Struthio camelus: one gene and its partner. The protein of the gene in region 1 interacts with the protein of each later gene in a biochemical or structural test. Links are inferred from orthologs where the notes say so. Each region holds a gene or a part of one and is shown on either strand. Other genes may lie near its edges.

Region 1 (16,246 bases):
TGTTAATAACAGTTGTGGAACTGACAAAACTGCTAATTTAAATCACCACCTGTGAAATTCCAGATGTGCATGGGTCTATGAACCAGTGCTTCCTAATGAAACTGTGGAGATTTATAGAAATTCTAGAGTAAAGAATTGTCACTTTTATATCTTTTTTAAAATTGAAAGAAGAAAACAATTTTAAATACTCTGTGAGTAAACTCTGGAGAATACATCAGATTCTTCTCTCAAACTCACTGCTATATAATCCTGAATCCTGATCCACACATACTGAAGTCAGTGAAAGCATAGCTCAATAGCTTTTACATAGGGCCTTACTTGTGAGAATGTCTAGAATCATATGGAATTTAATTATATTGTCCCCACATGTGTCTTTTAAATTGTCTCATACAATCCTATAGCATAGGAATTCCTATGGAATTTTCTGTTAAACGTTATTTTCTTTTTCTTTTTTCAGGACAAGCCCGTCATGCAAGTAGACACTATTTATAAAACACACGCATATACATGCATTTACGCACATATGCACCTGTGTGTTTGCATGTACATAAATGGATTGTATATCAAATATTTGTCTCCCCTTTTTATTGTAACTGTGGAATCTTTGAATGACGAATTTAAAAACCTCTATATTTCTTACTAAGCTCCTGCTTCTCACTCCCATTCACTGAAGTAGTTTACCTTCAAATCAATCATTGCACTGCCCTACTTATTTCAAGGGACTGTTTCAGCATAGCCTCCAAAGGGAAGCTTTAATGTAATGTGAATTCTCTTCTGAGACTGGTGAGATGGGGAGCGATGGGAAGGAATACTGAAGACATATGGTGGTGTAACAATCATAACAAAGGAAAGCAATTCTGCCATAAAACATGTCACTGAATCGAAAGCAGCTAGGAGTACAGAGATTCAGCATTCAGATGAAGACAAATGTAGACAAGGCAAAGCAAAGCAGTAGGTCTGAAAAAAAATGCATCATATGAGTGCATTCATACTGAAATACTGAAGAATGGTTTCTTATAAGTAATTATTCTTTTTCTAGGGAAAAGGAGAAGCCTCAAAATGCTACTTAGATTTCGAATATACAGGACCCTGTCCTTATTATTTGATCTTTTTTTTTGCTATTCTCGATATTCTGAAACTCTCACTAACTTTCTCATCATCAGTATTTGGCCATTAGAGATTTTTAAAATGTTTTGATGTAAATCAGCTCATAAAGGTTTTTAAATTCTGGGTGCACTAAAGTCAGTGGGAATTTTGCTGTTAGTACCATAAAAATTGACTAGCGTGAGACCAAGATATTATAACGTAGATTAAAAATAAAGTCTAGCTTCTTTTGATTACCAATCATAACTCCTTTTAATTCATAAAGAAAAGAGGAATATAAGGTTTGCCAAATTGAATTGAGCCAATATGCTGTATCAGTTTTGGCACAGTGGCTGTGTAATCGACTGGTATTTTACCAGACAATAGTCAGCTGCATGGTGCTGCCTGTCTTTCTGAATAGGCATCTTTGAAAGAGTAGACTCTAGGAAAAAATCATTCCCATATTGAATTTATTATTACATTAGTATGTGCATATTTCTCTTTATCTTTACAATGAATATTATAGCTACTAAATCTGATTATACAGAATCCTTCAGGCTAGTCTATGTCCAAAGTATTTTGAAAGGCTCTCTTCCTTTAGTGAGTATGGAACCCTAATGTAGACTATAATGGGAATCCATGTTAGATTTTGTCACAAATTTACACTTATACTATCTAATAGCATCAAATACAAATCCGTCACAGTCCATGAAACTGTATTAATGGATGCTTTAGCAGAATGTGAATGCTTTTTTGACAGTGGTGAGAGAAAGAAGAGAATAACAGGAGATGGGCAACTAATGATTTGGCGTCTGGACTTCTTTACTTCTGTACTTCCTTCCAGAGCCTGTCAGTTCATAAGGATGATGTTTTCAATGAAGTTTTCCTTCTTCTGGCTGCAATCTGTCTGCAGACAAGTTGGAATTTACTTTCATTAGTTTATAAGGAGCACAGACTCAGCTGTATTGGGAGCTCTATGTATGCCAGAAGTAAATGCAGTTGTGACTCAAAATATCCAAATTATTTATAAGGAAATTGACTTGAGCTGTTAATTTTTTCATGAGAAGGCCCATGTGAACAGTGACAAAACTTCCACAAAACTTGAATGATTTTATCTGTCAAAGCATAAAATATTCTGTAACTAGAAAAGTTCAATATTTTTAATTTGTTTTCTAGTTAAAGCAATCACATTTAGATGTTTTAAATTCTCTTTCTTCAGAACATTTTGCAATATTGACTTAGCACTTGCCCCCACCATTAATATTTCTTATACTAAACCCACTTGCATGAAATTCAGCATAAGATATGAACCCTTAGCTAAAATGTCTGTGAATATGCATGTGCACATTTATTCCTTCTTTACTGATAATATCCTTGATTTACCGAAGACCTCTCTATTTGTAGCAACTTTCAGCTGTAAATACGGACCTCTGACTCATAACAGAGCCTTGGCAGGATTATTAGGATAACTGACTATTTTGTCTGTTTATGCACAACACAAAGCCCTGGATTCCGTGAGCTTGATGCCTTACTGCTTTCAAGCATGAAGTGTATAAAAGCAGATTGCAGTCCATTCTCACAACAAAGAACAGGAGTGCTTGCCCTGCTGCTTACAGTTTTGATGCAAAGGCTGGATGTGAAGAACATGTTACCTATTTCTTAGCAGCAAAATGATAGTGTTATTGAATTGTTGCTTTTTATTGTGGAGGATACTGGTCATAAGTGTATCCAGATCTTGCACCTTTTGGGAATTCTTCACCTTTCAAACTATAGGAAAAATGCACTCTCCAGGGTGTGGTGTGACTATAAGCATTATCTTTTGAAGAAATTTGATTTAAGAAAAAGCACAGAAAGGGGTTTATTTTTTAAGATGCACACAGCAGCTGACTGCTGCTAGGATTGCACTCTCACACTGAGGGGACAACATACACACAAATGTTCATTTTAATGAGAGGGAAAGTAGAGGTGGAGGCAGCTGACCTAGATGGTTTTATGAATAAAATATATAATCTGATGCAATCATTTCATTAATACGCACATGGCACCAAACGAAAAAAGGGCATAGCAGATGGCTATGAGAGGTCTTAAATGGGTATTTTCGGTTTAGTAGCTAACTACTGAGATGTTGTGGATTATACCAAATACTGTCAGAAAGGAAGTACTTGTCGTATCACTGTTTGAAATAAATTTTTATAAAAGTAATGCTGAAAAGTCTGTGCTTTGAGGAACTAGTTAGAAAGTGCAATCACAAAGTGGAAGTGGGGCAATAGATTTCACAAAAACTAAAAAAAAAAAAAATCTATCATTTTCCACGATCTGAGTAATAACTTGCAGCTCTTAATTAAAATTTCTTTCTTTGCTCCAAGTTAATGCTCATCTCTGGGGTCTCTAAAATGTAACTACAATTGGTAGAAACAGTTTTTTTAATGTAACAATGAAATACAGTAACTTGCCATGTAGTTTTCAAATCTAAACCTAGCATTTATTTATTTGCTGCAGGTATGCATCCACTACAAACAACTACAAAAACAAGTCAGGAAGAAAGGTCCTTGGGAAAGTACTAAAGGTGAGAGGTCTTATTTTAATAAAATATTTGGAATAAATTTGAGATAAATGTATATTTTTAATAGGAGATAGTAGGTGAGGGATGCTTGTGTAGAATCTAGATTCTGTTTTTGTATTGCTTCACCTCAGCATAGAAAATAGCAAAGTGGAGGGATGCTATGATTTATAGCTATCTGACAGTGGGTCTGAAACTAGCCATGCGGTCCCTGTCCCACCCCAGTCATGCCATCCACAATTAGGCTGCAGGGAACTGCGTTACCTGTGTTCCCAGTGTGATCAGCTCTGTACTTGAAACGTGCAGCCTGAGAGATCTGGCTGCTTTCTGGACCCTTTGCAAAACCAGAGCAGAGCAAAAGGGCTGGATTTCTCAGAGAGGATCTGGCCTATAGCTTCTTAGAGACAGATTAACCTCAGTTTGGCATCTAAGCTGAGGAGGCATACAGTCTCATTCTTCAAACCTAATCCAAGATCAAGTTGGTTATATTATTTTAACATGAATTAACATTGAGCCAGTGTCCTATCTGAGCATGAACATGAACAAGACTCTGAAGTCTTGATTTCTTTTTGAAAAGGTCGTTTGAGCTCCTATTAGAAACGATAGAGTTTATACTGAATTTTGTCTGTAGTGGAACACTTATTCTTTTTAAATATAAAGAAAAATAAGCGAAAACACTCCCTCCTGCCTAAAAACCTATCCTTAGATAGGCTGTGAAACTAATTTTATTTTCTTTATATTCAACTGACAAAATATTGAACTGGACTGATTAAGACATGCTACAATCCAATATTGCTACTTCATTATGGAACAGTTCTTTGCAACATGGGAGAGACAAAGCTTTGATAATACTGGATGCTTGTGAATGAAATGTAGGCATGATTTTCTAATGTGAATACCATATGTATACAACATACATGTATAGCATCCTTGGCAGCTTGCTGCTGTTCAAATCCTGGCTTTACCACAGGCTGAAGCATTCAGGGGAATGGTGTATAACCTAAGATGAACCTACAGAATTTGAAAATCTTCTTATGTCTACAACTCTCCCTTACAGTCATGACCATGATTAGTCAGAGCACTTTGTTGTTTAGACAAATTGTCAGGTAAGTCCACAAGTTGCTGATGTGCATGTGACTAATAATGGAAGTGCAAATAATTGCAGTTTTCATACACCCTTGAGTGTTATACTAAACACTCGGAGAGCATCACCATCGATTCTTATCAATTCAGTTGTCACTGTACATCAGAGCTCTAATTAAAGACAGCACTTCATAGTTCTAGAAACTGTATATGTAAGTTCGTGAAAGCTCAAACTCCTTTGAACTTTCCAGTAATTTTTGATGTACACTGGCATCACAAAAAAGACTTTCACACTGATTTTTTTCTTTTTCTCCAAAGTCACTGAAGTCTGAAACTCAGTAAGCTTTCCCAAAGCTAGGGCCAATTATCTTGCGCATGAATATGGTTTTGGTGGGGAATATGAGATTACTGTTAGAAAAGATAGGTCATCTACTTTGGACTGAGATGCAGCTCCTGCAAGAACATGCCTGAAAGTATTTAACTTTAAACTCTATTTGCAGCAAAAGCTATTTTAAATAGTGCTTACAGGCTTGCAACATTGATGATAATGTAGCTTTTCATTGATGATATTTTTCTTCCATGTTTCCACAGCCGGACTATCAACTTAAAGTAGAACTGATCACACACAGCAAGCACTAAGTGACTGTTCCTTGAAAGTTCAGCATTTGATTTGATCAAAATTTGATTATTTTTTATTTCCTGGTCATAAAAACTCACATAAATGGCTTTTCTATCCCAGTGCTGGAGAATAGCTTTCCTTTATAGGAATTCTTATATTTGACTGTGAATGAAAATCTCTTCCCCTCTCTTCAGTAATTTCAGCCATAGGCTTTCCTTCACTGTTTGGTCTTGCTAAATAGGATTATCATCATCAGCTTCTTGTTATACTCCCCATTTTCTCTCCTTCTACACATACATTACTGCTCCCTTTACTGTTTTGATTTCTCTCATTTTCAGATCCATCTGCAAACAGATGCTTCGGGGTCCACATGACACAGTTAACTGTCAGGGTACTTAGCCAGATACTAGATTCCACTTAAAAAAAAAGAGAAATGCCCTCTTTTTTCAGTTGTCGTGTTGCAGGCAACTGGAGATTTTACAAATGACACATAAAAAACAAATGCAGGAAGTGTGAGAACCAACTTTCAGGAAAAATATAGTAAGATTTCAAGGAAAGACAGTGATAACTCAGTCTGCCCAGTAACTCCCAACAGCGTGGGAAGGAAACAATCCAGATTATTGAATGCTTCTTCACAGGTCCCTGACTGGGAGAGAAGAAAAATCTACCTATTTCTGTGCAGAGAAAAATAGGTAGAATAGGTAGAAAAATCTACCTATTTCTGTACACTGCTCTTCCCTCATTTGATACTTTCCCAATTCAAAGGTTAGGGGATCCAATCAGGCAATAGACCCAGTATCCTGTGACTCAGAGATCTATCTGCACTCTCCAACTGAAAAGGCAGCCAACCCTGGAGTGTCTAAAACACACAGATGTCCTCTAAACAGATGAAGCTTAGTCCCATCTATTCAAAAAACACTTGATGTCATTAACACAAGCTAGAATTGGTTCATGAAAGAGCTGCAAGCAGCACAAAGGACTACACTATTTACAGTGGTCTGAGCAGTTCTGCTACTGAAACAGTCTGTTTTTACTGAGTTTGGCTGCAGGAAGATTGTGATTCGACTTTTCTTGTTTTTCTTATGTTGCTTTTAAATGAGATTAATTGGGCAAAGCGAACAGCAGGTATGAAGGTATTGTAATTGGTCTTCATGGAAGAATACAGAACACACACTAGGCTTCCCCATCAGAGAGTAAAGTAGCTGATTCCAGCTGGTGTCAATGTTTTATGGGGAATTGTTTTGTAGTACCCCTAGTTCAGTCCCTGAAGGTACAAACAAAATAGAAAATAGCATTTTAAACACAGTATAATAATTCAGGTGGATAAAATATGTGGACTGATTATAATGCAAGGAGTTATCCAGAACACTTTATTCTTGCACAATTTATAGATAATTTATGTGAAGGTTTGGTGACTTTCCTAGCATGAATCCACCCTCAAGCTCCGAATTCTCTGGAATGGCTATGCATTTTATTTCTCCCCAAAGATGCTTATATTGTGCACACATCTGTAATCAGGTGAGAATGAAAATGCAGTTTTAAGTCCAATATCTTCCAAGGGTAAGCAGTGCTAATAGGTAAGGTTATCGCTCCATGACACCACTGTTTCGTGGGTGGCAGAAAACACGGTCAAACTTTGGGAGGGCAGTAAAGCCTGCCAGCCCCCCGGGAATTCCAGCTGGCAGCCAGGTGCTCGTAGCTGGAGGGGCCAAAGCGTCACAGTCATACCCCAAAGGAAGTTTTCAAAGCAGCATCCGAGGGGCAGCGCCTGCTCCCCGCCGGGCTGCCTGGGAAGGGGCCCTGCCGGGGTGGTCCGGTGCCGCCGGCGGCGGGGCGGGCGGTGCGCGGGGCAGGGGCCGGGGCCGGGGGGCCGGCGGGGGCCGGCGGGGCTCGGCGCGGCGCGGGCCCGGAGGCGCCCGGGAGCGGGACCCGGCGGCGCGGCGGGGGCGGGCGCCCGGCCGGGAGCGCGGCGCTGCCCGCCTGCGAGGAGGCACTCGGCGGCAAAACGAGCCTCGTGCCAGCGCGGAGAGTTCTTCCTCCCGCCCTCCTCCTCCTCCTCCTCCTCCTCTTTTTTTTTTCGGTTTTATTGTATTTATATGTTCATTTATTTTCACCAGAATAATAAAAATGAGAAAATCCTAGCGCTGTTTTTGGCTGCTCTCCACCAACCTGTCAGTGACGCAAGCGGAGACTACTTAAAGGCAGATTAGAGGCAGCAAGACATTAAAAGCCAACCTTCCTCCCTCCCCGGCGCGGGCTCCGCCGAGACGCGCCGCGCCACGAGCGGAGCGGGCCGGGCCGGGAGCGGCCGCCGCGGGGCCCCGAGGTCAGCCCAGGCGAGCCGAGCCGTGCCGAGCCGAGCCGAGCCGAGCCAGGCCGGGCCACGCCGGCCCGGACGTCCTCGGGAGAGCTGCCGGGCCCAACCGCTTCCCCGCCACCGGACTGCTGTCGGCAGAGGGGGGTTGCACGTTTGTTTGTTTCCCCCTCCACCCCTCAAAGGAAAAGGAGGGGAAAAAAAGGAAGAAGTGAAGAGATCCCCGCCGCTTGCAAAAGTCTTTGTCTCCGGATGAACAGCGATGGGGGAATGGACTATTCTAGAGAGGCTACTGGAAGCTGCCGTGCAGCAGCACTCTACTATGATAGGGAGGTAAGGGCTACAGGGAGGCTTCGGGGAGGCTCCGGTGGGCTCACCTCCCCTGTCCGGAAGGGTTGGGCAGTGGGGCCAGCCGGCTGGGTTCGCGGCCGTGTGGGGCAGCACTCCCGTGTGGCGTTTCTCTCTCTGTGCCTGTGTGTGTGTGTGTGTGTGTATACGCGGCATAGGTCACCGAGGCGAGGGGCTCGTGCAAACAACGCCCGCCCCGTCCCCGAGGAGCCAGGGGTCAGTGGGGCAACTATGGGGCAGAAGTTGGCGGCGCTCCGCCGCCGTCGGGGTCCCGCCGCCGGGGCAGCCGGGTGCCGTGCGTTTCCGCGCTTTCGGGGGCCCACGCGGTCCATCTGATGGCCTTTTCTCCAAAGGCAGGCGCGGTAAGGGGCGGGGGTGGGCTGACGGCCGCCTGAGCTTTTTGCCCGCGGGTGATCCGTACGGACGCACACGAGCGCGCCGCGGCGATGCTGTGCCCGCGGCGCGCTCCCGCGCTCGCCACTGCCGGGCTTTAGCCGGGCCGCCCGTGGCGCCCCGCGGCGCCTCGACCCCCGGCCCGGCCCCGGCCCCGGCCCCGGCCCCGGCCCCGGCCCGGTCAGCACTGGACAGCTCCCGGCCGCGGGGCAGCGGCGCGCTCTGACGGGCTTCTCTGTTCCAGGATCCTGCTGACCGTGGTGGTGATCTTCCGGATACTCATTGTGGCCATTGTAGGGGAGACGGTGTACGATGACGAGCAAACTATGTTTGTGTGTAACACGCTGCAGCCAGGCTGCAATCAGGCTTGTTACGACCAGGCTTTCCCTATTTCTCATATAAGGTACTGGGTGTTCCAGATCATCATGGTGTGCACTCCCAGCCTCTGCTTCATAACGTACTCTGTTCACCAGTCTGCTAAGCAGAGGGAACGGAGGTACTCCACTGTCTTCCTCACCTTGGAGAGGGACCAGGACTCAATGAAGCGTGAGGACAGTAAGAAAATCAAGAACACCATTGTCAATGGGGTGCTGCAGAACACCGAGAACTCCACCAAAGAGGCAGAACCAGACTGCTTAGAAGTGAAGGAAATCCCCAATCCTGCTATCAGAACTACAAAGTCAAAGATGAGGCGGCAAGAAGGCATTTCTCGATTTTATATCATTCAAGTGGTCTTTCGAAATGCCCTAGAGATTGGATTCTTAGTGGGACAATATTTTCTGTATGGATTCAATGTCCCTTCCATGTACGAATGTGACAGATACCCTTGCATTAAAGAAGTAGAGTGCTATGTCTCTAGACCCACTGAGAAGACTGTATTCTTGGTATTCATGTTTGCTGTCAGTGGGATTTGTGTGGTGCTCAATTTGGCAGAACTGAACCACTTGGGCTGGAGAAAGATCAAAATGGCAGTGAGAGGAGTACAGGCAAAAAGGAAATCCATATATGAAATCAGAAATAAGGACCTGCCAAGAATGAGCATGCCTAACTTTGGCAGGACTCAGTCAAGTGACTCAGCTTATGTGTGAGGCTGTGACAGAACTGAAACACTGTGCCAGGTGGAACAGACCCAGACACCATTAGAGAAAGGTACATTGCTTAGGCAAGCATTTTATCAAACCACCAAGAAAGCCATTAAGGTATTGGATCTGCACTTACTGAACTAGATGCAAAATGCAGTGCTATGTAAAAGACTGAAAAAACACCTATAAGACCATGCTTGATCTAGCCTTACAGCACAGTTACTATTATTATCCTTTTTCTTTCTAATGATTGGGTGTTATCTTTCGATGGAGCAGCTTTTTGATCATCATTAGGATGAGACTACAGTTTGGGCTGTGTCTGACTAATTGTTGTAAACGTGTAGAATGTTCTTATTAAAAATCTGCAAGGATACTCTATATGGGATGGGGTGGGGTGGGGGAAACTGTTGCAATGTGCAAATGTAAGCATGTTTAAAAAGGAGGGTAACAGCACTGTTAGGAACCTGACCACAGCTTGATCAGGACATCTGTGCACACCTATTTCACGGATGTCTGATATTATTTTGTTTGTCCACATCACAGCATTTATTTCTGGTGTGTATTACTAGCTATTTTCTAACATAGTTTGTACAACAATTAGTTATGCTAAACAATAAATGCAGAATATAATTTTGCCATTTTTTTTGTTTGCCTGTCCACACACACACCAGAGACCTTAATCATCTTACATTAGTTGTGACCTACAAAATATTTCAGTACATTTCAGTTTTTTCCCTAATATGTGCATAAATAAGATGGAGCTGGTTCATGTCAGCAAGCTTATGTATTTACCTACAGTTACCTATGATGACACACATACCAAAGGAACAGAGTTCATTGCTTTTAACTGTGAATATATCACCTTCTCTCTGCTCTTATTTATATAAGTGCCATACTTGAAACATCTAACTCTGTACAAAAGGTTGTTTTGGGATACCAGCTGGAATAAAGTGATTTTATACTCTCCTTTGCTTATTTTATGCTATTTGTTCAGTCATTGCAATGGTATAAAAAGCAGCTAAAATCTCTATTGATAAATAAAGTACTTGCCTTTTTTTGTAAGTTAGGGAGATTTACTCTTCTTTATTATTATATACAGTTACAGAAACATATGAGGCCGAAATAATTGACTTACAATAATCACTCTTTAGGGTTTGAAGTGTCTTGTTGATATCCTGAACACTAAGGGACAAAACCTGGGAAATCAGGGCTATCCATTATGTCTGTATTCCCCCTTAAGCAATGCTTCCCTGTCTTTAAAGCCTGATCCAAAGCCCACTGATACCAACAGCCTTCTTTCTGCTGATGCTAAGGGCAACACAGCTGGCTGCCAAGGTCACTCTGGGAAGAGGCAGAGTACATTTACCTATAACTGAAACAATTGCAGCTCTTCATCGGAGAATCCAAATAGCAACTGCAGCTTTTCTGCCTTCCAGCTGGTTCAAAAAATACACTGTTCATGTCCCATCGACACGAAGGTGGTCACAAGTGAATCTCTATTAATAGTGATCATTTTACTACAGGACACTAAGTTTTACTCTAGGACCTTATTTAATTACCACTGCAGTCGACAGAAACTATCCTAATGGCAACAGTAGGAGTTGGATCAGGACTCAGAAACAATACAAGTGCTAAGTAAACGATATCTTAAAAGAAAAAGGCCAAAATGGTGCTGGAAAGTTTGGGGATACTTTATAACATGACAGGGAGATAGGGGCTCAGACTTGCAAATGGGCTCTTGATCGTGTTTTATTTTGACCAGATAATAGATTTTACAGTATTTTTGCCTAAAGACCATGCATATAAATCTTTTCTTCTTAGCTCACAGTAGATATGTCAACATTTCATTCTTATCATTTGCCAGCATTGTCACTTAAAAAAATGTTGATTAATGCTTACACAATATATTATCACTTTCATCTGTGGATTTTTTCCTTCCACTCTGAAACATAAGACTTTGAGTTTTGTCATATTTTTAAATCTTTTAAAAGTAATTTTCCTTATATGCAAAAAAGAATAGTATTTCCAATTTGATTACAGAAACCCACAAAAACAGATTTGTCAAATGGTTCTTTGTGATATAAAAGCACACTGGTATTGCTAGTTGACTGCATGCTCACTGTGGAAAACTGCATGTTATTTTTAGAAGTACAACATGGCAGCTAAAATCTCCATCTGCAATGTAACAAGCTTCTAAAGATTATTATTTGACACGCAAATCCAAGTCTGACTTTCATTTTGCAGAGTCCGGGGATGTTTTACAAAATCTCCTTTGGAGTAGAAGTTGAAGGGGAAAATATTGTTTGACCATAATAAGCATTGTTTTAATGCTGAAGAAATGAGAGATTGTGTGCAAAGGGCTCAATTTAATGTGAATTAAAGTTGGAGGAAAAAACTCCTACTGACTTCAATGGGCTTTGGATCAGGTTTAGCATAATTTTCTGTTATGCAGAAGCCCTAATGTGAGTTATTTTCAGTAGCTTCAAAGTAGTATTTAGTCAAAACTAGTGAACGTGCATGTCTTGATAGCTACAAGATTTTAATACCTTAAAATCCTGTAGATAAGACGAAGAAAGGGTCTGTTTATAAAAGTTAGCTTCAGTGACTCAGTTCATTCCATTATTTTATGCAGTTGCACATTTTGTATTACTGTAAGTTGGGAGTATTCAGAATTTTGTGAGAGAAATATGTAAGGAAATATAGATGCTAATTTATGCAGCAGGATCAGTGATAACCTAGGCAAACATTCATATCTGGATGAACAGAAATGTAATCCTCAATATTTTCACTAAACAGTATATGGCTTTTCTTATTTCAGAAGAGAAGTGAAATAATATCAAGAAAGTGGTTGTTCTAGTCATCCTTTTCAATTATCATTTTTCTTTTCTTGCCAGCTGCTTGTCATGAACAAGAGAAATAGCGTAAACTCTTTTTTTGTCAATGCATTATGTCAGAGTCATATGATTAATGCTAATGGACTGTTTGCATGAGAGCAGACTATTCATTTACAGAATAAATGTTTTAAAATTATCACAGCAATGGAAAAGTGTGTTAACTAAACAGAACCGAGTGACTGTGACACTGAATGGAACATTACTGCCTACTCAGGCCTTGATCCTGCCTCATTGAAATCAATTAGAGTTTTAGCACTGATATCCATGGAAGAATCAGACATTAGCTATAAGCATTCAGTTTACGTTTATTTCATTCATTGCATATCCTGTTTTGTACTGGTGGCCAATAGTGTATCTCATGATAAATGCAAACATAAAATTTATGATCAGTAAGCTTTTTTGGAAAGCTACAATAGCATTTAATGCAATATTGGTTCTGTGGAACTTTAATATCATATCATGTAAAACAATGGAGATTATTTAACTTATATGTAGCCCTTATCTTGTGCTTTTCAAACCAATGGGAATTTCAAAAATAATTTACATAGTGCTTTCGAACTATTTTACAAGACATATTTAAATTGCAATGACATACAGTAAAAAGGTTTAAAAATATCTAGCAATTGCTTTTCACGATGAACACTACATTTTGCGGGGGTAACTTGAATTGACTGTTCCTATAATTAGTTCAGCTTTATAGACCATTGACTTTGAAGAAATATAAAGGCTTTTGTATTTCTTAAAGAAAGTCTGCAGAATGAGCAGATCAAGTGAGATGAACAGGTTGCCCAGAGAGGTAGTGGAGTCTCCTTGCCTGGAGATATTCAAAACCCGCCTGGATGCGATCCTGAGAAATATGCTCTAGAGGACCCTGCTTGAGCAGGGGGGTTGGACTAGATGATCCCCAGAGGTCCCTTCCAACCTCAACCATTCTGTGATTCTGTGAATCTGTGATGAACATATCAAGGAAGAAGTGAGATTGATTTTGAGTTGTTCTGCACCAGAGAAGTCAGAAGTCAGGAAAGCTCAGAAACTCCAGAAAGGGCTCAACGCTTGTCCTGCCTTATACCTAATAGGGTCGGACAGAGCTGTTGATATGTAGGACTGTAGGAAAAGAGTAGATGAAAGGTTAAGGATAAATGTGAGGAAGACTTTTTCATGCACAGCTAAGGGTATAGCTACATTTATTGTAGGGCAAGAGGATGAATAAGATGTACATTGTCCCTGCATCCTTGTGCCTTTATTTTGTTTGAATGTAAATATTCTCTTCCCCCTTACTCCTTCAGTGAAACCTGTTAGAGGCTTTTGCTTGATCTGAAAATATAGAAATGGGATTAAAAAATGGAGAAACATGAGGGAGAAAACAGGCAGAGTTTTCTTCATTTAGGGTCTGATTTTGTTCTTTCAACAATAATGGGACTTTGTCTTTTGTGGCACCAAGTCAATTTCCAGCTGAGGAGAAACTCCATTCCATTATTTCATGATATTAACAGAAGAGATCACCTTATTTCTGTACTGCCCACTCATTCCTGAACATTTTGGTGTACTTTTTCCAGGTATTATATTTTATTGTAAACTTTACAAGGTTAGTATCATCTAGTAAGCCTAAAGCCAGATTCTAAACCTATTTCCCTCCACACTGAAACACTGAGGATATCTGTGAAGAAAAATTGCATTAGGAAGTACTTCATATTCTCTCTGTTAACTTGCATTATAGCAGTCAATCAGGAGTATGAAGTAAGTGCAGTCAGATGATATGGAGAATTATATAGAAATGTACTACTAATAAATGGTATATCTTATATATATAAAAACATGTATAATAATATATAATAACCACATAATATATAGAATAACCATATAACCAAAAATAAAATATAAAAGTAATATATGTAAATATATGCAAGATTGCTAAAGGAGTTTAATCTAAATTATATTGCTATGTTATGGACTAAATCTCAGAGATGGATACAGAACAGGTCCTGCATCCAAAGGGACCATTAAAAATCACACAAATAATCTATGTATGTACTCTGCAATGTTCTAACTGGACATTTGACACCCAAAGACATCTATGATGACCCTTTTTGTGTAAATTCTGGGGCTATGGGCTACACGAATTGCTATAGCAAGTTTAACTGATTAGTTGTATATCTAAGCTACAGCTAAAGAGAGACATGCATTTCATTGCACTAAAATCTATCAGCTTTTTCTAATGGTGACAGACGTACAGGATGAACTAGATCTCTAGCTTGTGAAAACCCACATATACAGTTACCCTCTTTAATTTCCCCCCAGTATCTCCCAGATTCAACAGAACATGCAAGTAAGTCTCTTTTCCAGTATGTGGTGTGTCTGGAAAGAAGGACAGATAAAGGTTTACTAGTACCTGGATAACAATTAATGCATTCTAAAGTGTTAAGAAATTTGGGACTTTTGGTCTCTATCAATGAAAGCAGAATTTTGTTGCACTTAATTTCTCTATAAATGTGTTTTGTGGTACATAATTAAAAATAACCATGATTTTTGAAATATGTTCTGAAAAGTCTGGTGCAATCATGATTAGTTTTTTTTTCAGCACTTTTTTCCCAAAGAAAGGTGGAAAAAATGCTGGCTGAAACTGAATCAGTCCCTATTTTTGAAAAAATGTCATAAATTGTTAACACTATTTTAAATCTGTTAGCAAAATCTTTTTGGAGAGTGCTAAAGCAAAACATTCTTGGCATCAGTATTGCACCATTGTCCCTCTAGAAAGTGGTTTCCTTTTCAATCACAAGCTTTATTTATTAAACCTACAAGCTTTTTGGCAAAATGAACATTAGGCAGGAATTTTATAACGTGTTTTGGAATAGCAGGTTATAAAGAGATATAGATTAAGGAAATAAATGGGGAATGGAGGAAAAGTATGGATTTGTAGGTATTAAAGGGAAAAAGAAAGGTGGGCTGTGGACTTACTTTTCTCTGCCTATGCAGTTTAGGAATAAAAGCATGTTCAAAATACATCCATGAGCAATTATACAAGGTTCCTTGCGGTATCTCTTGTGTAATAAAAATAATTTTAGAAACCATTCAGCAAACGTTTTTCATCTTTTTCATTGAAGAGACGAAGTGGTACATTACACCACCCAAAGCCATCATGAATAGTAATGTCCCTGTGACTACTCCGAGCCTTCAGTGAACTTAACACATCTGGAGGTATTCTGAATGCACCACATTCTCCATCACTGGTCTGCAGTGAAAGCCATACTCCTGTTGAAAAATGTGCTCCTCAGAAAACAGCCTGTCGTGCAGTACGTTACACAGACACATAGCAGACATACCTAGGGCGATCAGATTTAAACCTTCACATCAAAGGGTGATTATGGTGAATATGCATTGTGAATAGCGTCCCTATGTGGCCAATAGAACTTAAATATAAAGCAGTTTTCACATTTGCAGTGAATGTGATGTACTATAGGTTCAGGTGTTTTGAAGAAGGATGGCTGTCCTAGAAATTTCTTTATTTTCCCCTTAAAAAAGAAAGCCTCCTTTAGCAATGACCTTTGTGTAAGAAGATATGTAACTACACACACACACACACACACACACACACACACACACACACACACACACACACACACACACACACACACACACACACACACAACACAACAACGTACTTCTATAATTTCTCAAGTTTCTCAGACAAGATTCCACATCTGACATCGTTACATGTCCTCAAGCAAGTGTGCTTAAGCAATATGCAGTTTATGATGCATTGAGCTATTTATCTCCATTTTCTCATATAGAAGTGGGTATGTAGCTGTAAGAGTAAGAAAATAATTTGTTGTATCTTCTATATATTTACACTGATCTCCCAGAAGTGAAACA
Region 2 (15,350 bases), on another chromosome or scaffold:
AAAAAAGGCAATGGCCAAAAGATTTCAACTCAAGCTGTGAGGAAGCCATGTCCCATCGCATTGCTGTGGGATTATTAGCATACTAGGACTTTGCTGCTTTGCTGTAACAGATTTTTTTAAAAAAAAAGCTGGAATACTAATTCTGGTGTCAAGCCAAGTTTGAGACTAGAGAAACCAAGAGTCATTATCTAGTAACAGAAGCAGGTCTGAGAAGAAAAAACAGCAGTTTAACTTGCTAGATCTTCACAAAAAACTGCCATGCTGGGCTCTAAACATCCAACACAGCAGTTTATTACCATTTAGATTACTAAAGTCTGCAAGCAAAACACAAGGAATTTTCGCTTTAAATGCATACACTGCTCGTGCATAATAGGCAACAAAGATAAGCAGCTCAGACATTCTTTCAGTAGCTAATGAGAGAACTTTATGCAGTTATACAGCAGCTTATATCTGTCAGTTAAGACCTTCTTGAGTTTGTTATGGTTTTAACATAAACCTTTACTGGCTCCCTTAACGCTAGTGATCAAGGATACTTCCATTTGTTAGGATCAGCTGGTGACAGAGTTTTTCCTCTGTCTGCACGACCTTTGGGCACTTCTTGGTTTTCCTTGGTAATGGAAAACAAATTGGTGCTAAATGGGTCCAACTGTAATACACAACAAGATATAGCTACTCTTTTTACAGTTACTTTTCAGTTTTGCATGAACACAGTTTTCAAATTTTATACTGACAGACATGTATCATGGAACTACCTCATCACTTTATAATTATTTCCAGCAAGCAACGTTTTAGTGGAAGAATCACAGAATGGTTGAGGTTGGAAGGGACCCCTCGAGATCATCCAGTCCAAACCCTGCTCAAGCAGAGTCACCTAGGGCTCATTGTCCAGGATTGTGTCCAGCCGGCTTTTGAATATCTCCAGGGAAGGAGACTCCACTAGCTCTCTGGGCAACCTGCTCCAGCACTCAGTTACTCTCACAGTAAAGAAGTTTTTCCTCATGTTCAGATAGTTCAGTTTGTGCCTGTTGCCTCTCGTCCTGTTATTGGGCACCATGGACAAGGGTCTGGCCCCATCCTCTCGACACCCTCCCTTCAGATACTTCTGCACACTGATCAGATCCTCTCTTCTCCAGCTCCCTCAGCCTTTCCTCATATGAGGGATGCTCTAGTCCCTTCATCATCTTAGTAGCCCTCCGCTGGACTCGCTCCAGTAGCTCCATGTCTGTCTTGTATTGGGGAGCCCAGAACTGGACACAGGACTCCAGGTGCGGCCTCAGCAGGGCTGAGAAGAGGGGAAAGATCACCTCCCTCCACCTGCTGGCAACATTCTTCCTAATGCACCCCAGGAGACCATTGGCCTTCTTGGCCCCAAGGGCACATTGCTGGCTCAAGGTCAACTTGTCCACCAGTACTCCCAGGTCCTTCTCTGCAGAGCTACTTTCCAACAGGTCATCTCCCCAGCCTGTCCTGGTGCACGGAGTCAGGCCTCCCCAGGTGCAGGACCCTGCACTTGCTTCTGCTGAACTTTATGAGGTTCCTCTCTGCCCAACTCTCCAGCCTGTCCAGGTCCCTCTGAATGGCAGCACAGCCCTCTGGTGCATCAGCCACTCCTCCCAGTTTTATATCATCGGCAAACTTGCTGAGTAGGCACTCTGTCCCTTCCTCCAGGTCACTGACGAATAACTTGCACAAGACTGGACCCAGTACTGACCCCTGGGGGACACTGCTAGCTACAGGCCTCCAACTAGACTGTGCCACCGATCACAACCCTCAGAGCTCTGCCACACAGCCAGTTTTCCTTCTAGAAAAAGTTGAGATCTGTGCCAGAGAGGTATGCAAATATTCTCAAATTATAACTTCTCTGGTTGATAGTGTGCATTTGAAGGGCTTTGCAGAAGGTGTTTATAACTTCCACACTAGAGGCCAACACTAGAGGAAAGCACTAAAGAAAAATTATAGTATCACTTTTCTATTCACTAATTTTTAATGGTAGTTTGGTTAAAAGTTTCGTCACAAAGAGTCTCTCTCTTACGTGAGGTTATCAGTATGATCTTAGCAACAGCTGGGCTCTAGATATTGGGAATTTTTTTTTTTTAAGTCTATATACAATCACCAGGACATTTTGCATAACCAGTACAGCCATTCATGAAAACTGAACCGCCGTTATTTTTTTTTTTAAATTAAAGCCCAAAGCATTCAAGCTACAAAGCACTTCTAATATATATATTTTAAAGAGCTGCAGTACAGTTTCAGTGGAGCATCACAATATGTTAATATGGTGACACAAATTCTATTAACTTATACAAAAATTATAAGCCATAAAATATGAGAGACGTACTTATTTTGGATTGATTATATCACAGATCAGACTGACTTGGCACCCATCGTTACAGCCTTACGAGTTGAGATCTTCCCTTTTTATCCAACGTTAATTTTCCTAACATTTATCTTTTAACATTATTTTTAGTTACTTCATCTTCTATAAAGCCCTTCTGACTTGCACAGAAAGTCAACTGAGCAGCATAAAGATGAGAGAAGAATTCTCAAGATCATCTTTGAAGTAATGAATGTCCACTCGCCGAACTTATATTCTCTATACAAGTAAGTCAAAAGCTTTACAGCTTTTCAAACCAGGTTTTTACATTCGCTTTTAAAGGACTCTTAGGACTCAGCATTCCTAGCTGTCTTCATTTTTACAGCGTGGTTACTACACAAACATTCCCGTAGCTGCCAGATTCAACACCCATAGCAGCAATATAAGCAAAGGGAACACAGCACACAATTTTCACATGAGACACTATACACAGAGGGATCTGCAGGTAACATCAATTGCAGTAATTAATTGACTACTTCCCAAGGGGGCCTGAGGGGGAAGGAAGGGATGTATTTCTGAACACTGTCATCACTCCAGCATCATTTATGACAAGAACAGCAAGTAGCACTCAAAAACTTGCTGTGGCAATACTCTTTGAACAATCAAACTTCCCTAAAGAACTACAATAATATTAAGGTATAAATACGGGTGTTTTTATCTTTACAAGAAAGTATGGTCCAAAGTCTATTCATATTCCTTAGGGATCAGACTTCTGTTCTATATTCTAAGGTTATGAGCAAAACACCCCTTGCATAAACTCTAACAACTGGTACCACAAATGCACGTGCCTGAACAATGGGAGAATGTTAAAGGCCGCAAAGTCAAGTAAAATCATTCATGTTTTCTCTCGGTCGTTCAGAAAAAGGGTTAACCTTTTTGCTGAAAAAGATCAAAAATATAGATTAAAAAATGAACACAATTAATAACAGATACAGATAAACAGATACACATAAAATTACAGGCAATGAGAACAGGATATGACTACAGAGAAGACTGGATGCTTTTAATTATAGACAGCACTGCCATACCTACCCATGCCATCATCTCATCAACGATCCCCAAGAGAACTGTACCGGCAACGTATTTACTGGAATTACTTCACAGCACACAATCAATTACTGATATGCACAGATCTGGGAGCAGGAGGGCAATAATCAGATACAATTTTGTACAACATCTCCCAGAGTAAGAGAACATTTTATCAAATAGATCTTCTCCAAAGACCTTTGTAGCATTAATAATCAACTGCAGTCTATACCAGTAACGTTCAACTTGAAAAGCTAGGTTATTGAGCTATGGTGATCTCTGAAATCACTGAATGCTTAAATCTACTTTCTGAAGTACTCTAGGTCCTGAGAGCTAGCTACAGGCCCAGAATGAACAGCCAGTTTCTACATCAATTTTATCAAAGTACTTCTACGCTGACTATGTACGCTATTTTTGAGTGCGTGCAGGATCCAAAGTAAAGGGGCCATTGGTACTCAGATTATCTCTGAAAAATTAGATATCAAGACTTTCCATGAAGCCAAGGACTGAAGCTATTGCCTGCTACAGTAGAAGAATGACACGAAAGGCCAATGTTTGTATAATTGACTCCTACGAGTTAATTTGTCCTATTTGACCACATTTATTACAAACACTGACAAAAAGGGATATCAAAAAGAAAGCCTAAGCCACAACTAAGAACAAGAATAAAAAAAGGCACTAATATGCCACAGACTTTCTACCGTGTGTTCAAAGGCAAAGATATTCCACATCAGGCATGCTCATGCTCTAACTCTCCCCAGGCCAGGATTATTTCTTACCTAGCTAAGTCTATTTTCAGCACATTTCCGTGCTGATACTCTCAACGGCTTTGAGGAGTGAGGATACCACAAAATTTCAAACAACGACTTTAGCTTGCAAATCACCTTTTTGGCCACAAATATGGGAAAGAATTACATACTGAACTAAGTAACATGACAGTTAGATTTTTAACTTAAAAATAACAGAAAGAATAGTGAGAACTGTCGAATAATTTCTCCAAGGCACAAAACTTACTTGCTGGAAACTATAATCGGGACAGCAAAAGTACTAGACTACTGATTGTCCACAATGCAGCTCTTGTGTACAGAACGTTATCTCCTTAAGAGATGCTTATTTCCAAGTACATGATACTCCAAGCAAGCTTGACAGGCAATTCTAAGAGGCTATGATACTAAAGGTTGTGAAATATCCAGAGCTGTTGAGAGACGAAATTGATTATGGAAGAATCTGGACACACAGCACAGCAAAGCCACTTCCTTTATATTGCCAGATTAACCACGTATTTTCTGTGCTTTGAACACACAGACCCATGAAGACAGCTGGTGGGAATTGTTTGGATAAGGAAGAAAATAGTGACCTCTATCATACCCCAAAGGACATTTAGTAGGAATTAAGTAGGAAAAGTAAGTACACCTGCTTATAGGGAAAATATAAGATAAACAATTCTCAGTAGCTGATTTGTAACCTTTTTTCCTACTTCCTCTAGGATCATATACATTTTACTCTGAATTATATATTAATAGAACGTGGCTTAACATTTTACACACTTGAAGTATTTACAGCTTTTAGGGTTTTAAATCCCAGGGTACGCAACAGTCACATGGTAACACAACTTAGCATCAGCTTTGGTAGTGACTACCACTTTCTATCAAAGCGAGAAAAACATCAAACACAAGATCAAGCGAGAGCCAGACACTGTAAAATGGAAAAATAGAAGCAACACCGAACAAGCAGAACAGAGAGACTTCTCTTTAGATGGTCACAAAAAACTGGGACAACTGACTCCTCTCAATAAATCGCTGTTTGGAAACCTGACAAAATGCACTTTAGGCCTGAAAGAACCTGCATTAAAGTAGTTACAAACTTTTTTTTATGCTACATTAACTAAAACCACACATACAAAAAGTCTTACACTGTTATTGAAGACTCGTGCACTGAGATAAGACTAAACTGAGATAAATACGATGAAAAATATTCCAAATAAAAACGTTTTTGAAACATCAAAAATCTACCTAAAATATTTATGCTGTGGCTGCAGAAGAAAAATGCCATTATTCGTAGGCCAAAGCAATATTTTAAAGGGCCAAAAATTACGAAAGCTAACTGCCATAGCTGTACATCTGACATAACGTGAGTATGATCACCAGGTAGCTGGATATGAGACTAACGAGTCATGTCTGTAAGCCAAAGGATAAAGAGAGGTCAACACTAGACTCTTGGGGACTGTATGGAGAAGTGTGATGGGAAATGCTCAAATACGACATTTAAATGCACACAGTGTGAACTGAATTAAGGGTGCTACTAACAAAAAGAGCTTTTTTGAATACTGAGAGCATGAAAAAGTAATTAGCTAATGAAGAAGTGTAAGACAGATCCAAGATAGAAAACAGTAACCAATAAGTTCACTATACTGTATATATAATATGCAAGGAGCTGATTAAACATGTAGCATGGATTCAAGGTGCAGGACAGTTAAACCCTTCTGTGCCTCCTCTGGCAAATAATACACAGTTTCCTCCTCACTATCTACCTTACTGCCATGAAACAGGAATAGTATATTCAGCATCAGCTTGAAATAAGAGGCAAATTTGGCTGGTGGAAAGGAGAGCGTCAGAAAGAGACTCTGGAGCAATCTCTCGCAGCTACGCCCCAAACTGCCTGGAGAACCACAAGTCCCCGGCACGTCAGCAGCGGCCAGAAGAGAGACAGAACGTGGAAGGAGCTGTGACAAAGTTTAGATTTGATATGATTAAAAAGGGGGGCATAAATTTGGAACAGCAGTCATAAAAATAACATTCCTGCATATTTAGAAAGAAACTTGAATTTCTGTACTGATGATGTGAAAGGGGAGGTAGCGTACAAGAATTAAAGGCCTCTTAAAAAGCTTTGTGCTCTCTATGCCTTCCACCACGCCAACACTATTACATTTGTCCTATTTAAAATACTTGCTAAATATAAACAGCGAGAGAAACAAGTTATTTTCTACCGACTCTTAAAGTCAAGGAGAAGAATCACGAGAAGAACGGTTCAGAAAGCCTCTAGTCATCGCTGTCCCCTAAGTTTTCTGCCTGTTAGAAAAGTGGAGCGAAGCTCAAGGAACCATGTCAAAAACCCACCACGTTAATCATTTCTTCTAGACAAACCTGCAAGAAATAGCATGATTATCAAAAGAAAAGATCTACCTGTGCTGTAAATACTTAGAGTAAAGCAGGAGTAAGGCACGCCTGCGAGGACTGAATATTCGGAGAGAGAAACGTGCGTTTCAGTCCGCAATGTTTGCTTGGGAACACCACAGCTCAACCACAGCTCAGCACGCGCAGCAAAACACATCGGCTCATCCACGCCAAACCGCAAGGCACGGAGCACGTTCCTTTTTTGACAAAACGACCGCAAACATTTTGCCATAATACAAGAAACGGGTCATTTTAACAGCTGGTCAGCTGGCAAATCTCTAACGCTGAGAACCAAAACCGACTAGAGTACAAGTTTAACTGTGTGTTTTTTTTATTTTTTTTTGATTTTAGCAAGTGAGGCTAATTGCTGACTTCCAATTAATGAGAGACGAGCCAGCTAATGCTTTTAAATCTTCTTCCTGAACAGTACCAGCAGCATTGCGAGGAGATTTGACTTTTTTCTTTTCAAGCAATGATACACGTATATATTTTCACATTACGCCGGAAAAAAATTCATTTAAAATTCATTTATTTCGCACAGCAGCGCCCGAGGGGAGGGTTCAAAGCTCCGTCCCGAAGAGGCCGAGGGAGGAAGCCGGCCGCCGCGCACCGCCCACCCCGCGCGGCCTCCCCGGCCCCCCGCGGCTCACAGGCCGCCGGGTCGCGGCCGGCACCACCTCCTCCTCCTCCTCCTCCTCCTCCTCCTCCTCCTCCTCCCGCCGCCGCCGCCGCGGCCCAGCGAGGCCCGGTGGCGCAGCCCGCCGCCCCCCGCTCACCTCTCCAGCTCCGGGTCCTCCTCCATGGCGCGGCCCGCGGCCGCCGCTCAGGCGCAGGCCGCCGCCATGTCCCGCTGGCGGCCGGCGGGGGCGGGGCGGGGCGGCCGAGGACCCCGCGGGGGAGGAGCCGGGGCGGTGCCGGCCGGCGGCCGCCTCCCCCCTCCCCCCTCCGCACCTGCCGCCCGCCCGCCCGCCGCGCCCCGGCCCGGCCCCGGCCCCGGCGCCGCTGCCCCTCCCCGCCGGCTGCCGCGGGCGCCTGCCCCCGCCCGAGAGGGGCCGTTTCCTTCAGCGCCCCCCGCCCAGTTGCTGCGGGCGGGCGGGCTCGGGAAGCAACTCTGGCGCCAGTCCTGGCGGGACGGGGCGACCGGGGCTGTCCGCGCTCGCTTTCCGCTAAGGCGAGCGGGGGCCGGGGACGGGCTAAGAGCGGGCTTGGGGGCTCCTCGCCCAGCGCCGGCAGCGGCGGCTGGGGCAGCGGCGGCGGGGGTGCGCCGGGGCACGACACCGCCCCCCGCGCCGCGGCGCTGCTGCCCGCGGGGGCCCCTCACCCTCCGCCCGCGCCGCCGCCGCCGATCAGGCGAGCGGCGGGGCCACCCCGGGGCTGCGGCGCGGCCCGCCCCGCCCGCTCCCATAGGCTGCGGCGCCCCCGCGCCCGGGGCTGCCGCCGGCGAGGCGCGGCGCGGCGCGGCGGGGCGGGGGCACCGGCACCGGCGCGGCGGGGACGCGGCTGGGCCAGGCGGGGCGGGGCGGGCTGGGCCGGCCCCGGCCCCGAGGGCTCTGCGCGCCCGGCATGGAGGCGAGCGCGGCGCCGCTCTGAGGGGCGGCGGCGGCGGCGGGAGCCGGCGGCGGTGAGTAACTTCCCTGCCCGGCTGGGCGGCCGCTGAGGGGCGGTGGCCGGAGGCGGCAGCGGGGCCGGGCCTGCTCGGGCCGGGCCTGCCTCGTGGCGCAACAAGTCTGGGGCGGGCGGGCCGGGGCCGGTGTTCGTTCAGGTCGCGTCTGTCGCGTTGAAAAAACCGTCGCGGCTGGCGAAGCAGGTGGCAGCGCTGAGGCGGCGGCGAGGTGGGGGAGCGGCGGCGGCGGGACGGGGACGGGGACGGGGACGGCAGCCCCCTGCGGCTCCGCCTGCCGCGTTTCTGATGCACAGCCCGTCTGGTTGTGCACTGCGCCAGAAATCCGCGGTTAAGTACTGCTGGGCCCCATCTAATTCCTTTTTTAATTACACGATGTTGTGGGTTTTCTTTCGCGCTCGCGTACAAAGTAGGAGTTTCTGTTACGCGCTGGCTTTGGGGTGTCGTTGATCCCCCTCTGGAAATAAATCATAGAAGCGTTTGAGCTTCTTTGTTCAAAAGAGAAGCTGCTCTGAGCTAGGCTCTTATTAAATAAACAGCTGGACCGACCGATTTCTACTCCGCTACCCAATTCCTTGTGGCCTCGTGATGTTTTATTCTAAGCTGCGATCCAGCAGCAGATCAAGGAGGCTTAGGAAGAAACATCAGATGGTTTCAGTTAGTGTCCCTGCCCGCTCGGAAAATAACCACCTTAGTACTGCCATATGCCGCCGTGACTTTTATTAAAACAGATTTCCTCAGGGTGGAAACAAGGTATTTAAGCATACTGTCTGGGACCGTAAGGCTTAATAGGGCCCTTCTAGCATTTACTTTTTGAAGCTCACTGAGTGAGGAGTCTTCTCTTCCTTAAACGCAGCGCTGCAGAACGATAAACCCCGAGTTCGGGAAACTGCAAAGAACGCCCTTTTGTCCAGTGGGAATCTTTTTACATAAAAGTTTATGACATTTCTGATTTTTAAGCTTCTGTGTTATTAAAATTCTAAAATCTCAGTAAACACAAAAAAACCTCCTACACATTGATTTTTAGATCCGAGTTTTCTATAACAAATTCCTACCCTACTGACTTCAGCGACAGATAGCCCAGGGCCTTGGACTCGGGTCTGAGGCTTGCACAAACAACATGATTTCCTAACCCAGGTCTTTAACCTTTTTTTAAAATTTGTTCAAACATGAAGCTGCAATTTAGGAATGAAACTTTGCAAGAGGAGTGCAAGCTGGTGACTAGGTGGAAAAGTTTTGTTCTCTTGAACAGTTAGGTTAATTTAAAAAATAAGCCTACTGAAGCCTATCATATATAATTAGAAAAATATTGGCTTTGACATTGCAAGCTTTTGCGTGTGTGTGGAGCCGACTCACATAAAAGCCTTGATGACCTTAGTGAAACTTTGTTTTGTCATAAGGCTTTGCCTGAACTGAACAGCCTGTGAGTCTCACTATACGTTTCTGGACCAGCATCACTAAAAAACAGCAGAAGTTTGTTAGCTTCCAGTTAAAACTGTCTACTTGAAAATACTTCAGAATATTCCCCTGCTAGACTTTTTTTTCAATCCTATCCTTCTCTTAATAAATGCTTTAAATACAGCCACTTAAAGCCACCGTGAAGCAGAAGTGAGGCTTACAATATCACTCTAAAAAAGAAATGTGTAAGGATATGATGTAGTTTAGACACTGGAATAGTATACATTAATTTCATAAATCAGCAAGATGCTGCTTGTTTAAAAAGCTATTAGATATTAAGAGCTGTAATAAGAAAACAACCTTTATTCAGAATGAAAATGCTTCCTGGTGTATGGAGGCACCAGAGGACACTGGAAATCTGTTTGGTCTAGTCAGTGGTTTGTCTTTGATATTTGAAAATTCTTTGTTGATTTAGTTTGGAAAAGCAATTTAATGTGACACCGTTGAATTGCATGCTTCTAAATTGCTTTATTAGGTCAATGGAGTTTTTTTGTTTAGAAATCATAGTGCCTTTTAAGGATGAAAACCCTTTTACGTGTCATTATTTAATTATGTAATTGTTAGGTCACGGTGTCTAGAGAGCAATAAAAGACAATAACATTGTAGTCTCTGCTTTTTATGGCCTCAATTCTGTAGGCATTCATGCGTATGTTTAATTCTGAAAGTTCAAGTTTTTCTTGTGGAATATGGTGGGTCTATTCTTGGGCTTGATGTTCAGCCTGTGCGTGAATGTCTTGAGGATTTATGTTTGCAAAGTTTGGGGGATAAACCTGTCCCATTTTCGTCCTGACTGTTTTCATCTTTTGCATGACTTCGTATAGGTAGATGACTTCTGGCTTGGCAGTGAGGGCTGGCTAACCAATGGACATGTAACGAGAAACTCCCAACCGTGCCATGGGTCTCCTTCCCTTACAGATGGTAGGAGTACTGTAGAGGAGCTGACTTCATACTTGTGCATTGTAGTGGTACAGACATCTCTCTCATTTTTGGAAGTGTTTTTGATCATCTGAATTTGATTAGGTGACAACCCTTTGCATTCTCTTAGATGTTTATTTGAATGAATGTTAGTTTCACAAATAGCTTAGGACAGTTTCTGTTTTGGAATTTGGGCTGGGAAGAGAGGGGAGGTTTCTAATCTGAGCCTCTCTGATAGTGAGCTAGTGCATTATATGGTAAAAACAAAAGGCTGTGTAAGGATGCAGTTGTTTGCTGTAAAATCGGGTAACTTTTGAAGTTTTAAGATTTTAGGCAAGATTTTAAGTTCCGTTTTATGATTCTGAAATTTTTCCATCTAATCAGTAGAAAGTATTTTAATTAAAAAAAAAATTGCGCTAAGATACTGCAAGATACAATGTTTTCAGCCTCGTTTTTAAGTAAGCAAATTGTATTGTTGCTCTGTATTTGTGGTAGTTTAAGACTGTCTAGAATTTTCTTGCTGTTATCCCAGCAAAACAGACCAAATCAGGTAATAACGGAATTGTGAGGTTATGAATGTGCTAGATTAATATTATTTATAAGTTAATTTTCACCTGACAGTCTGCAGGAAGGTAGAGTTGATTTGCTTTGGGCCATAGAGAAGAATGTGTTATTACATCTCATTGCAGAGAACTGCTAATGCTTAAGTATTAGTTAATGGAGTATACATAATTTATACGTAGAACCTTTGGCTGTAGAGCAAAATTCAGTTTCACTGAGGAATATATCCAATATATGAACAGATACTGTTTTAAAATATTGTAAAAGGTAGTTATAAACAGTTCCATAGCATTGAAGGAAGAGGTAATATGAATTATTTGCCTTGTTCCTACCAAAATGCTTCTAGGAGTGAATCATGAGTGTAAGTGGTGTGCGTTAAAGGAGGACAAAGCTGTAGTTGGGAAAGAGGAGAAAAACAGTAGTTGTGTAAAGGCAAAGCAGGGCTTTTGGAGTAGGTTTCCTGGGACAGTGTGGCGGTGTCAAAAACTCTTCAGCACGCTGGGGAAAAAATGAGTCGCGAGCTACCTACTTTTGCACTGATAAATTCTTTACAGTAGGAGTAATTTTCAAGTGTATTATAGGCTTTTCCTTCGCGAGATAACCTCACAATTTCGTGTTCTCACAGTTGTCGCCTGAGAGCTTGCACAAGCCCAGTGGAATCTGTCAGCACATCACTGTTATGGTTAGAAAATAATCAGGATAAGCACAGTTGCTTATTACTGACTGCAGTAACGTTCAGGTCAATATTCTTATCCATGGGAACCTTTACGAACTCTTTTAGTTGTACTCCGGTCACATAGATTTCTTTTTCTTTGCATACAATTTTTGTTTGAATCCGGGTTACTCACCTCCACAGACAGCCCTCTCTTAATGCGATATTATTTTCAAAATTTTGGCTCTGAAAGGCCAAAAAATATTAGTGTCAGAGGATTCTAAACTCTTATCTTTTTATGGGTTTCTTTGCTTTTCAGACTAGGTGTTCATCCTAGCTCTGAGTTGACATATAGGAGAAAGAATGATGGGGCAGCAGGGTTTTTTTTTGCTCGGAGAAACATAGGCAACTTCCAGCAAAGCCAGCAGATCCAGGTAACATAGCTAACTTGTAGAGTGAAATCAGTTCATGGAAATAGTTTCCAGTGGATGTTGTATTGTACTTGGATAAGCTATCATGTTCCGCCACAGGAATTCTGTGTTTGCTTTGAAAGGACTAGTGCATGGTGGGTTTTTCTTTTTTTTCCCTGATATATAAGTGACGTTTCATAATCTAGACGTTTTGTGGGGTTTTTTTCTTTTCTTTTCTTTTTTCTGGCAATCCAGTTTTGGTTGGCATCCCTGAACAAGGTCTTAATCTAAAAAAAGGTTGGCCGGTATCAGTAAACCTGCTTTTTTGATGCATTTTGTTTTAACGTAACGTGAGTGGGCTTTTGTCTCTGTACATGGTATTAGTCCGCAAATGAAATAAGCTTTACCAGCAAATCTTCTCTTATGGCAGTATAATAGAACCTCTGCTGGGCTTTTCTGGTGGTAAAGCAACGTCATCCAAATCATTCTCCTAATTGACATTGCTACGTGCTACACCAGCAAAAAGAAAAAAAAATACCTGCAACCCTCCACGGTCCTCTTAAGAGAACCATGCTTTCGTTTCAAGACTGTTTGTTCTTCCATCACCTTCAATAACGATCTTTGTGCAGAACAATACATTCAGAATCCATCCTATGCCTGCTTTTCCCCACTGTATGAGGCACAATGACTTTGCTATCCAGAGAACAGATTCTGAAGAGTCACTGTGCGGTTGTGATGCATGAGTCAGCCTACACCTACCCAAGTAGAGTAAGTGACATTTCAAGGAGGACATTGGAGATGTTAATGTCCATACACGCCTCATGGGTGGTGCGCTGAATGTCTGCCGCAAATTAGATACTTATCTAGGTATCGTAATGGGCTGCTTCTGCAAAACTGGGGATTAAAAATTAGAGAAGAAATCAAAGTAAAAGCCTTTGCCACTTCATGCAGAGGGATGTCTTATCATTACTTGCATGGTAATGGATTATGTCTTTTTTATAGATCTGCTCCCCCCAACCCATACCAATGATTTTTCTCCAGTTGAAATTTCTTTTCATGAAGTTGTTTAAAATGTAGTCAGACTGAAATAACTGTAAGGAAAAGTTGATTGATATGTCGTAAAACCACATAGACAGATACTAAGGTGATGTGTAAACTTTTTGGTCATGTTTAAAGAGTTTGGTATAAACCATAGTCCATTGTGATCCTGTAGCTTTAACTATGCCTTTAATACAGCATGTGTACACAGAAGCTGTTACCCAAGCTCCCTCCGCTCCTTGAGCTGCCTGCATTGTTGCTTAAATTAACTTTTTAAAGCTAACAAGTCAAGCTGCTTCTCGAGCAGTTTGATTAAGATTTCCTTCTGTCCAGCCTTTTTCCTGTCTTTTTTTTTTTTTTTTTTTAATTACTTGGCTCTAGGTGGGTTTTCTCAGCCCTTTACTGTTACAGACGGAACCTAATGAGGCCCACCAAGTCTGGATATCTTGATGAGCTAGGAAAATAGTTCTGTATCCCTGTGCTAGATCTTGCCTTTTTCTTGACTTCATGCTAATCAAAAATTAGCATAAATCAGTTCCAGGACCGTTTCTACAAGTAGTCCATAACTAAGCTGTCATTGCTGCTTCTAATTAAGGTTGAAGCTTTAAAAAATCTCAGGGTTTCCTGCCATATATTAAGGCCGTATAAAATTATATATGTTTGATATTGAAAGCTTTCAGAATTTAGATTTGCTTCTTAATTATTTTAATGCCTTTTAAGTGCTGAAAGTAAGGTAATCTCATCTAGGTTATAGTAAGCTAAAAAGTACAGATAGTCTTATGTACTTGTGAGTCTGTACGTTTTATCTGAATGTCTCATGAAGTTGTGTATGTTAGCTCTGTTTGTACGTCAAAGCTTCATAAAAATCGAGTGACAAACAACCAAATGTGTTTCATTTTAGAATCACCGGTTAAAAAAAAAAAAAAAAAAGATATCATTTTACTTAATCTGGCAAAATAACCACTGTTCAGTAGCTGTTATCTGCTGAATGGCTCAGCATGTCTGCTCAATGCTGTTATTTTAATATCCCGTAGCTTCAAATATGTGTCTATCTATAGATGCAAGTGACATGAGCTGAATTAGTCTTCACTGTGTGTACAGCAGCAAGCTGCCTTGGTATATTTTTACAGTGTGGGCATGATCCTGCATAAATAATACTGGCATTTTTGGTTGTGGGGAGTTTTTTTCTGCTCTGAAATGTATTCTGACTGATAGCTGCTGACTTATCTATTGACTGTGGCTCTCGTGCGTTCTATAGGGAAAATAACTTTCCAGTGAAGCAAACGCGAAGGTGATTCAGTAGCTGTGAAAAGGAGAATCAGCAGCACAGCTTGTCTGTGCGTTTGACCTGAGCTGTCTTGTCTTGTAAGTAGAAAAAGAGAATCTATGGGAAAATTAGCACTAAAGTGAGTAGTAATGCACAACTCTGGATTACTGGAGTGTGAAATGAAACTGTTACAGTTCTTTATTCTTTGTTAAGAGATGTATGCCGTGCTAGTGGAGAAATGCCGTAAAAGGGTAACAACGCGTTCCTAAATAATATTTTGAAAAGTTTGAAATGTTCGTAACTAAATGTTGTGCCGTTATGAAGTGGATGATATTTGGCGAGGAACTTTTGGATGCAACTTCCTAAAAATGTTGCTTGCCAAAAATTAGTGGGACAGTGCAGATTTCACACCGAGTATCATGCATCTTTAAATAACAGCCCCAAGTTTACTGAAGGTAGGCTATTTCACAGAACTCCATTAGTGTTAGGACGCACTAATATCAACATTAGTCTGCGATTGTGTTTTGTTTTGTTTTATTTTTTTGCCTCAAAGGGTCAAAGAGGAAAGATTTCTGTTTCAGCTGTGACATTGGCTTTGGCAAGGCTAAAAAGAGGTGGTGTGTTTTAAAGCCTTGTTTGTAGGTGAGGCAATGTATACTTTAAAACTTGCTATTCAGGTAAAGTTGAAACGCAGGCGCTAATGCGTATGAGAAATAGCTGCTGTTCTATATATGCTCTTTTTAGATGATGTATCACATGTTGAATCCTGCTTAGTCATCCCTACAGCTTGATTATATGATGTAATCTGTACCTGTGACTTTATAGGGTTCTGTGTAGGCATGAGAGCCCTTCTGC

Evidence for each region.
Region 2: the proteins of GJD2 (region 1) and LNX2 form a complex in vitro, tested with the Homo sapiens proteins (2 studies listed by BioGRID and IntAct, with this or other methods). The link is inferred for Struthio camelus from reciprocal best matches to the Homo sapiens genes GJD2 and LNX2.

What each region holds. Positions count from the first base shown.
Region 1 is NC_090946.1:50,669,790-50,686,035, forward strand, and holds GJD2 (gap junction delta-2 protein), read left to right. Parts: upstream 1-7,658; 5' UTR 7,659-7,921; coding exon 7,922-7,992; intron 7,993-8,644; coding exon 8,645-9,488; 3' UTR 9,489-10,448; downstream 10,449-16,246. UniProt on the Homo sapiens protein: One gap junction consists of a cluster of closely packed pairs of transmembrane channels, the connexons, through which materials of low MW diffuse from one cell to a neighboring cell.
Region 2 is NC_090942.1:200,705,153-200,720,502, forward strand, and holds the start of LNX2 (ligand of Numb protein X 2), read left to right. Parts: upstream 1-8,062; 5' UTR 8,063-8,194; intron 8,195-8,270; exon of another isoform or gene 8,271-8,405; intron 8,406-10,473; exon of another isoform or gene 10,474-10,570; intron 10,571-15,350. Other genes in the region: protein POLR1D, read right to left, coding at 7,350-7,375.